Saccharomyces cerevisiae S288C: one gene and its partner. Changing the gene in region 1 together with any one later gene gives a genetic interaction. Each region holds a gene or a part of one and is shown in the gene's direction. Other genes may lie near its edges.

Region 1 (4,007 bases):
CAAGTTCTTGTTAAACACTGGTGGTAAGATCTTACCGTCGGGGGCCTTAGCCATTTCATTAGATTGAATGTAGATGTCATTGAGAATGCGATTTAAACCTTCAATCGAAAACTTCGTGAATCTTTTTTCCTTTTCTTGCTTATCATTTTTAAGCCATGAGCCCCACGTATATTTGAAAAAGGCATCTCTCTTTGGATCATTGTCATTCGTTAGCTTGGTAAAAACTTCGTTTGGCTTATTGGAGATAAATCTCTTGGTGGCGGCGACGGTGATACATTTAATTGCACCCACTCTTTTCGAAGCTCCTACTACACACCTTCTGGAATGGCCAGCAACAGTGTACCTAATCATGCTTGGTCTTCGTATTGCTGTCTTGCTTGCTAAACAGCTTTTGCTACTTCTTCTTCGCTGATGAGAAAAGGGAGTCTACTAAATACAGTTCGGCTTAAAGTGTCGCTGGTCAGCAATCGGCCCGAAAATACATTGAACATTTGAAATTACCATGTTTCAAAACGAATATTTATTATAATTATTACTAGTAAAAGTTATACATAAGAAGGGAATAATACAAAGAAACGGGAAACAGCTAAATGTAGTATATAGCCGAAAGATGTGGACATATCCCAACAAATCGTCTTATGAGATCCTTTTTTTGTTTTATATTTTTTTTTTTTAGCGGGTATAAACGTATCATTTATATATTTTATTCTTTCCTTTAACTCTCAAAATTTGAGCAATTAGGTTACTGTGGTTCACGTGATTCAAGTGTGCACATTGCTGCTATGCTTTGTAGTATTATCCATAGAGTTTAGGGAGGGGGAATGGTCGGAGAGTGGGTAATTTGCATTGTCTAATGGAGCAGAATCAGCGTTACTTTTCTGGAAATAAAACTGGTCCGATAACGAAGTAGTAGAATCAGAGGTGAGATTGGAGTTGGAAGTGGTGTTGAGTTTGTAAAACTTTTCGGTTTGATCATGCGATACCTTGTATTTGTCATCCTTGTCATTCTTCTTTTTTTTGTTCTTCTTTTTGTTCTTAGGGTCTACCATATTGCTAGTCTTCGGGGTAGGAGACTTTGTTCCATTATTGTGATCATATTGTTTTCGAACCATGGAATTCAATAAATTAAGTGAATATTTCGGAATCCCATCTCTTTTGACATTAATCCCCTGAATACCATCCTTCGTGGCAATCATGGAGGCACCTGATGTGATGGAGCAACCTGAGTTCGTTCTCGTTATCCTATCTTCACCAGAGGCAATATTGGAAGGGCTCATTGATCTCTGATCTAAGTCCAGGTTAGTAGACCTGTTATTAGTGTAAATGGACTGATCATAGAGAGAGATGGCAGATGCAACATCTTTTGAGCTTATTGAATGTGATGAATCAGGCATTATTAACTATTCGCTTCCTTTTCTTATCTCAGCAGTTTGTGTTTTTTATTCTTATTGTTATTATCCCTTTTAACTATATATGCATAAGCTAAGTTAAATATTAAAATATTTATATATAAACGTTACAGGGCGTGTGAACACATTTGAAAAAATGCTGGAAGGTAATGGTAGATATAAGAATTGGAATAACAGGTTGATAGAGAATCGCCAAGCTAGAGAGTTCTGACAAGCGGCAAGGGGGAAGGATGAGACGCAGATACGAAAGCCGCACCATTAAACCGTAAAGAGAGAAAAATAAAGAATGACTTATTTCTCGGAAAGGCCAAATGCAATTATGCAACACGCACACATTCACACTCACACTCACACATAAACTTTGACTGAAACCAAAACTGTTGTGAGTAATAGCCTTTCTTGTTCATAAAATAGTACAAGATACAGTAAATATATATCAACTCACCTGGTATAGGGATCACTTACTGCACTGCAAAAGTGGATCGTTTGCGCAAGAAACTCCACCAATTCTAAAGAATATAATAGAAAAAGCTAATAGGAAAAGTGGTCATTTTCTGTTGATATGTTACATAGGATAAACCCAGTACGGTTTTCTATGCAATCTTGCCAAAGATACTTCTCGAAGTTGGTATCGCCATTGGAACAGCATAAAAGTAATACTTTTACTAATAGAGTCAGAATCCCCATTGAGGCAGGCCAACCACTGCATGAGACAAGGCCGTTCCTTATAAAGTCGGGCGAGTTGACACCAGGCATTTCAGCCTTGGAATACTATGAAAGAAGAATTAGGTTGGCGGAAACATTGCCTCCCAAAAGTTGTGTGATTTTAGCTGGTAACGATATCCAATTTGCATCTGGAGCAGTATTTTATCCGTTCCAACAGGAAAATGACCTGTTTTATCTTAGTGGTTGGAATGAACCTAATTCGGTCATGATTTTAGAAAAGCCAACGGATAGTTTAAGTGATACAATTTTCCACATGCTGGTTCCGCCAAAGGATGCGTTTGCTGAAAAGTGGGAAGGATTTAGGTCTGGGGTTTATGGTGTTCAAGAAATTTTCAATGCCGATGAATCTGCTTCCATTAACGATTTGTCTAAATATTTGCCCAAAATAATTAACAGGAATGATTTCATCTATTTTGATATGCTATCAACTTCTAATCCCAGTTCGTCCAATTTTAAACACATCAAGAGCCTGTTAGATGGCAGTGGGAATAGCAATCGATCATTGAATTCCATTGCGAATAAGACCATCAAACCCATCAGTAAAAGAATTGCAGAGTTCCGTAAGATCAAGTCCCCTCAAGAGTTGAGAATTATGAGGAGAGCTGGCCAAATATCAGGAAGATCGTTCAATCAAGCCTTTGCTAAAAGATTTAGGAATGAGAGAACTTTAGATTCCTTTCTTCATTACAAGTTTATATCCGGTGGTTGCGATAAGGACGCATATATCCCCGTGGTCGCTACTGGTTCGAATTCTTTGTGTATCCATTACACAAGAAACGATGATGTGATGTTTGACGACGAAATGGTTCTTGTAGACGCTGCTGGCTCCTTGGGTGGTTATTGTGCTGATATTTCGAGAACGTGGCCCAATAGTGGGAAATTCACTGATGCACAAAGAGATCTCTACGAAGCTGTATTAAATGTTCAGCGTGATTGCATTAAGTTATGTAAAGCTAGCAATAACTATTCCCTCCACGACATCCATGAAAAGAGTATCACACTCATGAAACAGGAATTGAAAAACTTGGGCATAGATAAAGTCTCCGGTTGGAATGTTGAAAAATTGTATCCGCACTATATTGGACACAATTTAGGTCTAGATGTTCACGATGTGCCTAAAGTTTCCAGGTACGAACCATTAAAGGTTGGACAAGTTATTACTATTGAACCGGGTTTATATATTCCTAACGAGGAATCATTTCCATCTTACTTTAGAAACGTCGGAATAAGAATTGAAGATGACATAGCCATTGGTGAAGATACTTACACTAATTTAACTGTTGAAGCAGTGAAAGAAATTGACGATTTAGAAAATGTCATGCAAAATGGCTTATCTACAAAATTCGAGGAGGACCAAGTGGCACCACTGTAATGTTATTGCTAAATTGAGTACACCCTGTATATACAGATACATAACTTATCGATTTAAGGTCTTTTAATATTAAACGGAAAATTCAAAAAAAAAAAAATTTACTGAAAATATCTTGAGATACTTTTCTTCAGCTTTCTTTTTGTTTTTTTCCTCTTCTTCTTGGGCACTGCTCTTTAGTTTTTATTTTTAGTTACGGCAAAATAAAGATGGGTCTAAAAATTACAAAAGGACAGCTGAGAACCAAGGATCTGAATCAATCATCCTCAAAGTCATCGCAGTCTTCAAGAATAGGTGTAGACACTTGTATATTTACTAGAATGCTACCCCGAATAAACACTGCAATTAATCTCACAGAGCATCTGCTGAGAAGATCTTTTCATTCACTGACAAATCTACAGAAAACTCAAGTAAAAGAAAGACTACATGAGCTAGAACGTCACGGTTTCATATTAAATAAAACATCCAAACAATTGGAAAGGATAAATTCTAAGAAAAGAAGA
Region 2 (4,351 bases), on another chromosome or scaffold:
CACGCATTACTTCATAGTTAATAAACCACCTGGCATACCTTCTCAACCACCAGACTGCAGAACATGGGGCAGGACACATCCTAATCTTGACCCTACTCCACTACTAGAAAGATTCAAGGCTATTTATTATTCACATAGAGAAGTAGAATTATGTCGTACTGTACATAGGTTAGACCATTGTGTTACGGGGGGGATGCTGATTGCAAAGACTAAAGACGGAAGTGTAAAATTCTCTAGATTTTTACAAAAGGGCGGCAACAACGGTTATAAGTTGCAAAGAAAGTATGTAGCTATTGTCGAGTCGTCCGGTCGTTTCAACAAACCAAATAACTATGAAATTAAATATGGTCCTAAATATAATTTCTTGATTTCACATGGTGGTAGGGAGATTACTAAGTTCAAAGAAGTTGACGAAAATTGTATTGTTTTACAATTGGTTACAGGAAAAAAACATCAGATTCGAAATCACGTCTCTCAAATTTTAAATCAGCCCATATTAAACGACAAGAGACATGGCAGCACTGTCAATTTTCCAGAGTTGTTCAATGACCAAATAGCGTTGCATTCAGCGTGCATAATAACGAAAATTGGCCTGCAAACTAAAACGCACTTGATACCTATGGAACACAATAATACTGGCCAACTTTGGTCAAGAAAATACGTCAATGAAGAGGGTGAGTTCACTTTGCCCATAAAAGAAGTCCTGTTGGAAAACTGGGACCAGTAAAATAAGCAATAAATAATCGGTTATTAAATTATTTCTAATACACATATATAACGAGAATAAAAAAGGTAGTCACCACTAACCAAACCATATTGATTAATTGATGATTACTGCCTCTTTTTTTCCACAGGTTTGTTATCCCATAATGATTTTAAAGAGGCAATAAGACCAGCTTCTTGACTCTCTAATTTATATATACCGACGAACGATAAAAAGGAGCCCAAGCTCAATAAATACATCGCGTAATGATGTACCTTTCCATAGACTCTTTCAGAAATATAGTCTATAATGCAAGACTGAAATCCGATATGACAATGACCTAGCAGGACCAAGGAAAGAAATGTGTCGGTAAAAGTGGAAATAGGGCCTGTAGTGACCAAGGGAACTGCGATCAGCGGAAGAACCGCTAAGGACAGTCCGCGCTCGACAATCCAATGGTACGAACCCTGAGCTCTGCTTTCGGGCGGCATATAAGAGGAATCATTTGCGGTCCCACTCACACCTCCAGGTTTCTGTGGAATCTTTGGCAGAAAAGGAATGGTAAAGGATCTGGCAATTGAAGTATGAAAAGCCCTTATTCTGCAGAGTGGTTTCAAAAACTTAGTCGATGACATTCCTACTTTCCTAAGAATTGGGGCAACCTTTTTGAGAATCGTTGCTGATTCATTAGAACTGATAAACGGTCTGTCCACTGGGGACTGAAAATATATAGGTTTGCTTCTATGAAATTCGACGTCAAAATTAAGGGATACCTATGGCCAGCGCCCTTCAACTGACGATTTTTAGTTATCATACGCGTCCCTTATTATCTTAAACCGTAATAAAAAATCGTTACTTCGGATAAGGGTACTCCAATCTGGATGTGAGAGTCTGATAGTACCATGTTAGAGCCGCGTTGAAGGTGCGAATCAGGGTTTTATTCTCCTTAAACTTGATCCCGTCCAAAGGAGTTAAGAAGTAAAATGCACGGCTTTACTAAGACTATATTTACGTATTAAATTCCTCAACACGTAGTGAGGAAAGCTAAAATGCTGAGCTTAATTTCTCAGCCAACAATGGGTGATACTACTGTTCAGTGCACAGATTAGATGACCAATATTATTTTCACGTATTTAGTGATATTCGTAATCGAGCTGGACTCATCTCTTTAGTAATAAGAAGTGAATTTGAACGCTATGGATAAATCATGATATCTTGCTCTCAGGCATCAAACTAGTGCGCAAAGTGATAGGTGATCATACAATGTTTTCAAGAACAGCATCCAAGTTCCGTAATACACGGAGGCTTTTAAGTACAATTTCCTCACAAATTCCAGGAACCAGAACCTCTAAACTTCCTAATGGGTTGACAATTGCCACAGAGTACATCCCCAACACATCTTCGGCTACTGTTGGAATATTTGTCGATGCTGGTTCTAGGGCAGAAAACGTAAAAAACAATGGTACAGCGCATTTTCTAGAACACTTGGCTTTCAAGGGTACTCAGAATAGGTCACAACAAGGAATTGAATTGGAAATTGAAAATATCGGATCTCATTTGAATGCATATACATCAAGAGAAAACACAGTTTATTATGCTAAGTCCCTACAAGAAGATATCCCAAAGGCTGTTGATATTCTAAGTGATATTTTGACTAAGTCAGTTTTAGATAATAGTGCTATTGAGAGAGAAAGGGATGTCATCATCAGAGAAAGTGAAGAGGTGGACAAGATGTATGATGAAGTTGTTTTTGACCATCTTCATGAGATTACGTATAAGGACCAACCTTTAGGAAGAACCATTCTGGGTCCTATAAAAAACATAAAATCAATAACAAGAACTGATTTGAAAGACTATATAACCAAGAACTATAAAGGCGACAGAATGGTATTGGCAGGTGCGGGCGCTGTTGATCATGAAAAATTGGTACAGTATGCTCAAAAATACTTTGGCCATGTGCCCAAATCTGAATCGCCTGTCCCGTTGGGATCACCAAGGGGCCCATTACCAGTTTTTTGTAGAGGTGAAAGGTTTATCAAAGAAAACACGTTACCTACAACACATATTGCTATCGCATTAGAAGGCGTGTCATGGTCTGCACCTGATTATTTTGTAGCTCTGGCAACACAAGCGATTGTTGGTAACTGGGACAGAGCCATTGGCACAGGTACAAACTCCCCCTCTCCATTAGCTGTTGCAGCAAGTCAAAATGGTTCTTTGGCTAATTCTTATATGTCATTTTCCACCTCTTACGCTGATTCAGGTCTGTGGGGAATGTACATAGTAACTGATTCTAATGAGCATAACGTGCAGTTAATTGTTAATGAGATCCTGAAAGAGTGGAAGAGAATAAAATCTGGCAAAATATCGGATGCAGAGGTGAATAGGGCAAAAGCTCAGCTAAAGGCAGCTCTGTTGCTATCGTTGGATGGATCGACAGCCATTGTAGAAGATATAGGCAGACAAGTGGTGACCACAGGTAAAAGATTATCACCAGAAGAAGTTTTCGAGCAGGTTGATAAAATCACTAAGGATGATATTATTATGTGGGCAAATTACAGATTACAAAACAAACCAGTTTCAATGGTTGCCCTAGGAAATACATCCACTGTCCCTAATGTATCCTATATCGAAGAAAAACTGAACCAATGACCACGCCGATTTATTAGTAAGTTCATTTCACATCTCTGCTAATTTCTAATTTCTCTTCATACTTGTATAAAGTTCTATGTCAATAAATTCTTGTTCAAATGAGATGTTGCTACATAAAAAATATGAATAGATATCGGCGGCTCTAGTACCCATTCCCCAAAACACGATGTCGGTATATTAACAGCACGTGTATTTTCTTTTTTGAAGGATACATTAATACTTTCTTCCTAAAACTGCACTTATAGTGGGGTGTGAAAGGGCCCTTCCCGTATTCAATATTAAAGCAGCCCTTCAGATTGCAAAAAATGCACAATAAATTTGTTAATATAAGCCACAAGCCAAAAAAAAAAAAGTGATGCAATTGTATATACTTAACATAAAGATTTTAAGTTATCCGTTACCATTGCATACAGAATTATCCAGATAATACTGTTTACTATGCTCATCGATCGTTTCATATTGGTCATTGCCTTGAAAAAAAAGCACGTGAAAAAAATACTGTGAGACCTTTTCTTGCAATATCTCGATCAGATAGCATCTGTAGCTTTCCATTTAGCTGAACACATCACACTGATCTGATAAACACCATTATATCTTCGGTATTATTTACTGAATTTTCCCTTATAGCAGCAAGGGAAAGCAATAATAAACGTGCTACTAAAAGTTTTTTTAGTCATCGCTCAATGGAGGTCAGCACAATACTGTGTGATTGGTCATAATAATTGCATTGTAGAATATCTGCCAATGAATATGTACCTACCTCTTCATATCTCTGAGCAGTAAATACCTCTCGATTTCGCTGCTTTTTCGCCAGGAACATTAAGCTGTGCAAAAAAATAAATCTTCGACTTCCTATATCCTGCAGCAGCACCAGTTGAAAACAACTGTAGCCAGAAAAAGTCAACGGACCTGAAATATAAGCTGATAAACTACCTTCTCATTCGTAAAGTACTTAACAAAAAATAATGATGACCTTCCAGTGTAGAAGTTTATCAT

What was found. A genetic interaction does not mean that the proteins touch.
Region 2: mutations in ICP55 (region 1) and MAS1 impair growth when combined (synthetic growth defect), as found in Saccharomyces cerevisiae (one study listed by BioGRID).

The regions. Positions count from the first base shown.
Region 1 is NC_001137.3:316,307-320,313, reverse strand, and holds ICP55 (aminopeptidase), read left to right. Parts: upstream 1-1,971; coding exon 1,972-3,507; downstream 3,508-4,007. Other genes in the region: AIM9 (Aim9p), read right to left, coding at 1-351; YER079W (uncharacterized protein), read right to left, coding at 762-1,394; YER078W-A (uncharacterized protein), read right to left, coding at 1,504-1,668; MRX1 (Mrx1p), read left to right, coding at 3,714-4,007. UniProt on the Saccharomyces cerevisiae protein: Aminopeptidase which cleaves preprotein intermediates that carry destabilizing N-ter amino acid residues after the mitochondrial processing peptidase (MPP) cleavage site and is thus critical for stabilization of the mitochondrial proteome.
Region 2 is NC_001144.5:490,870-495,220, reverse strand, and holds MAS1 (mitochondrial processing peptidase), read left to right. Parts: upstream 1-1,966; coding exon 1,967-3,355; downstream 3,356-4,351. Other genes in the region: pseudouridine synthase PUS5, read left to right, coding at 1-727; protein SHH4, read right to left, coding at 832-1,338. UniProt on the Saccharomyces cerevisiae protein: Catalytic subunit of the essential mitochondrial processing protease (MPP), which cleaves the mitochondrial sequence off newly imported precursors proteins. Preferentially, cleaves after an arginine at position P2.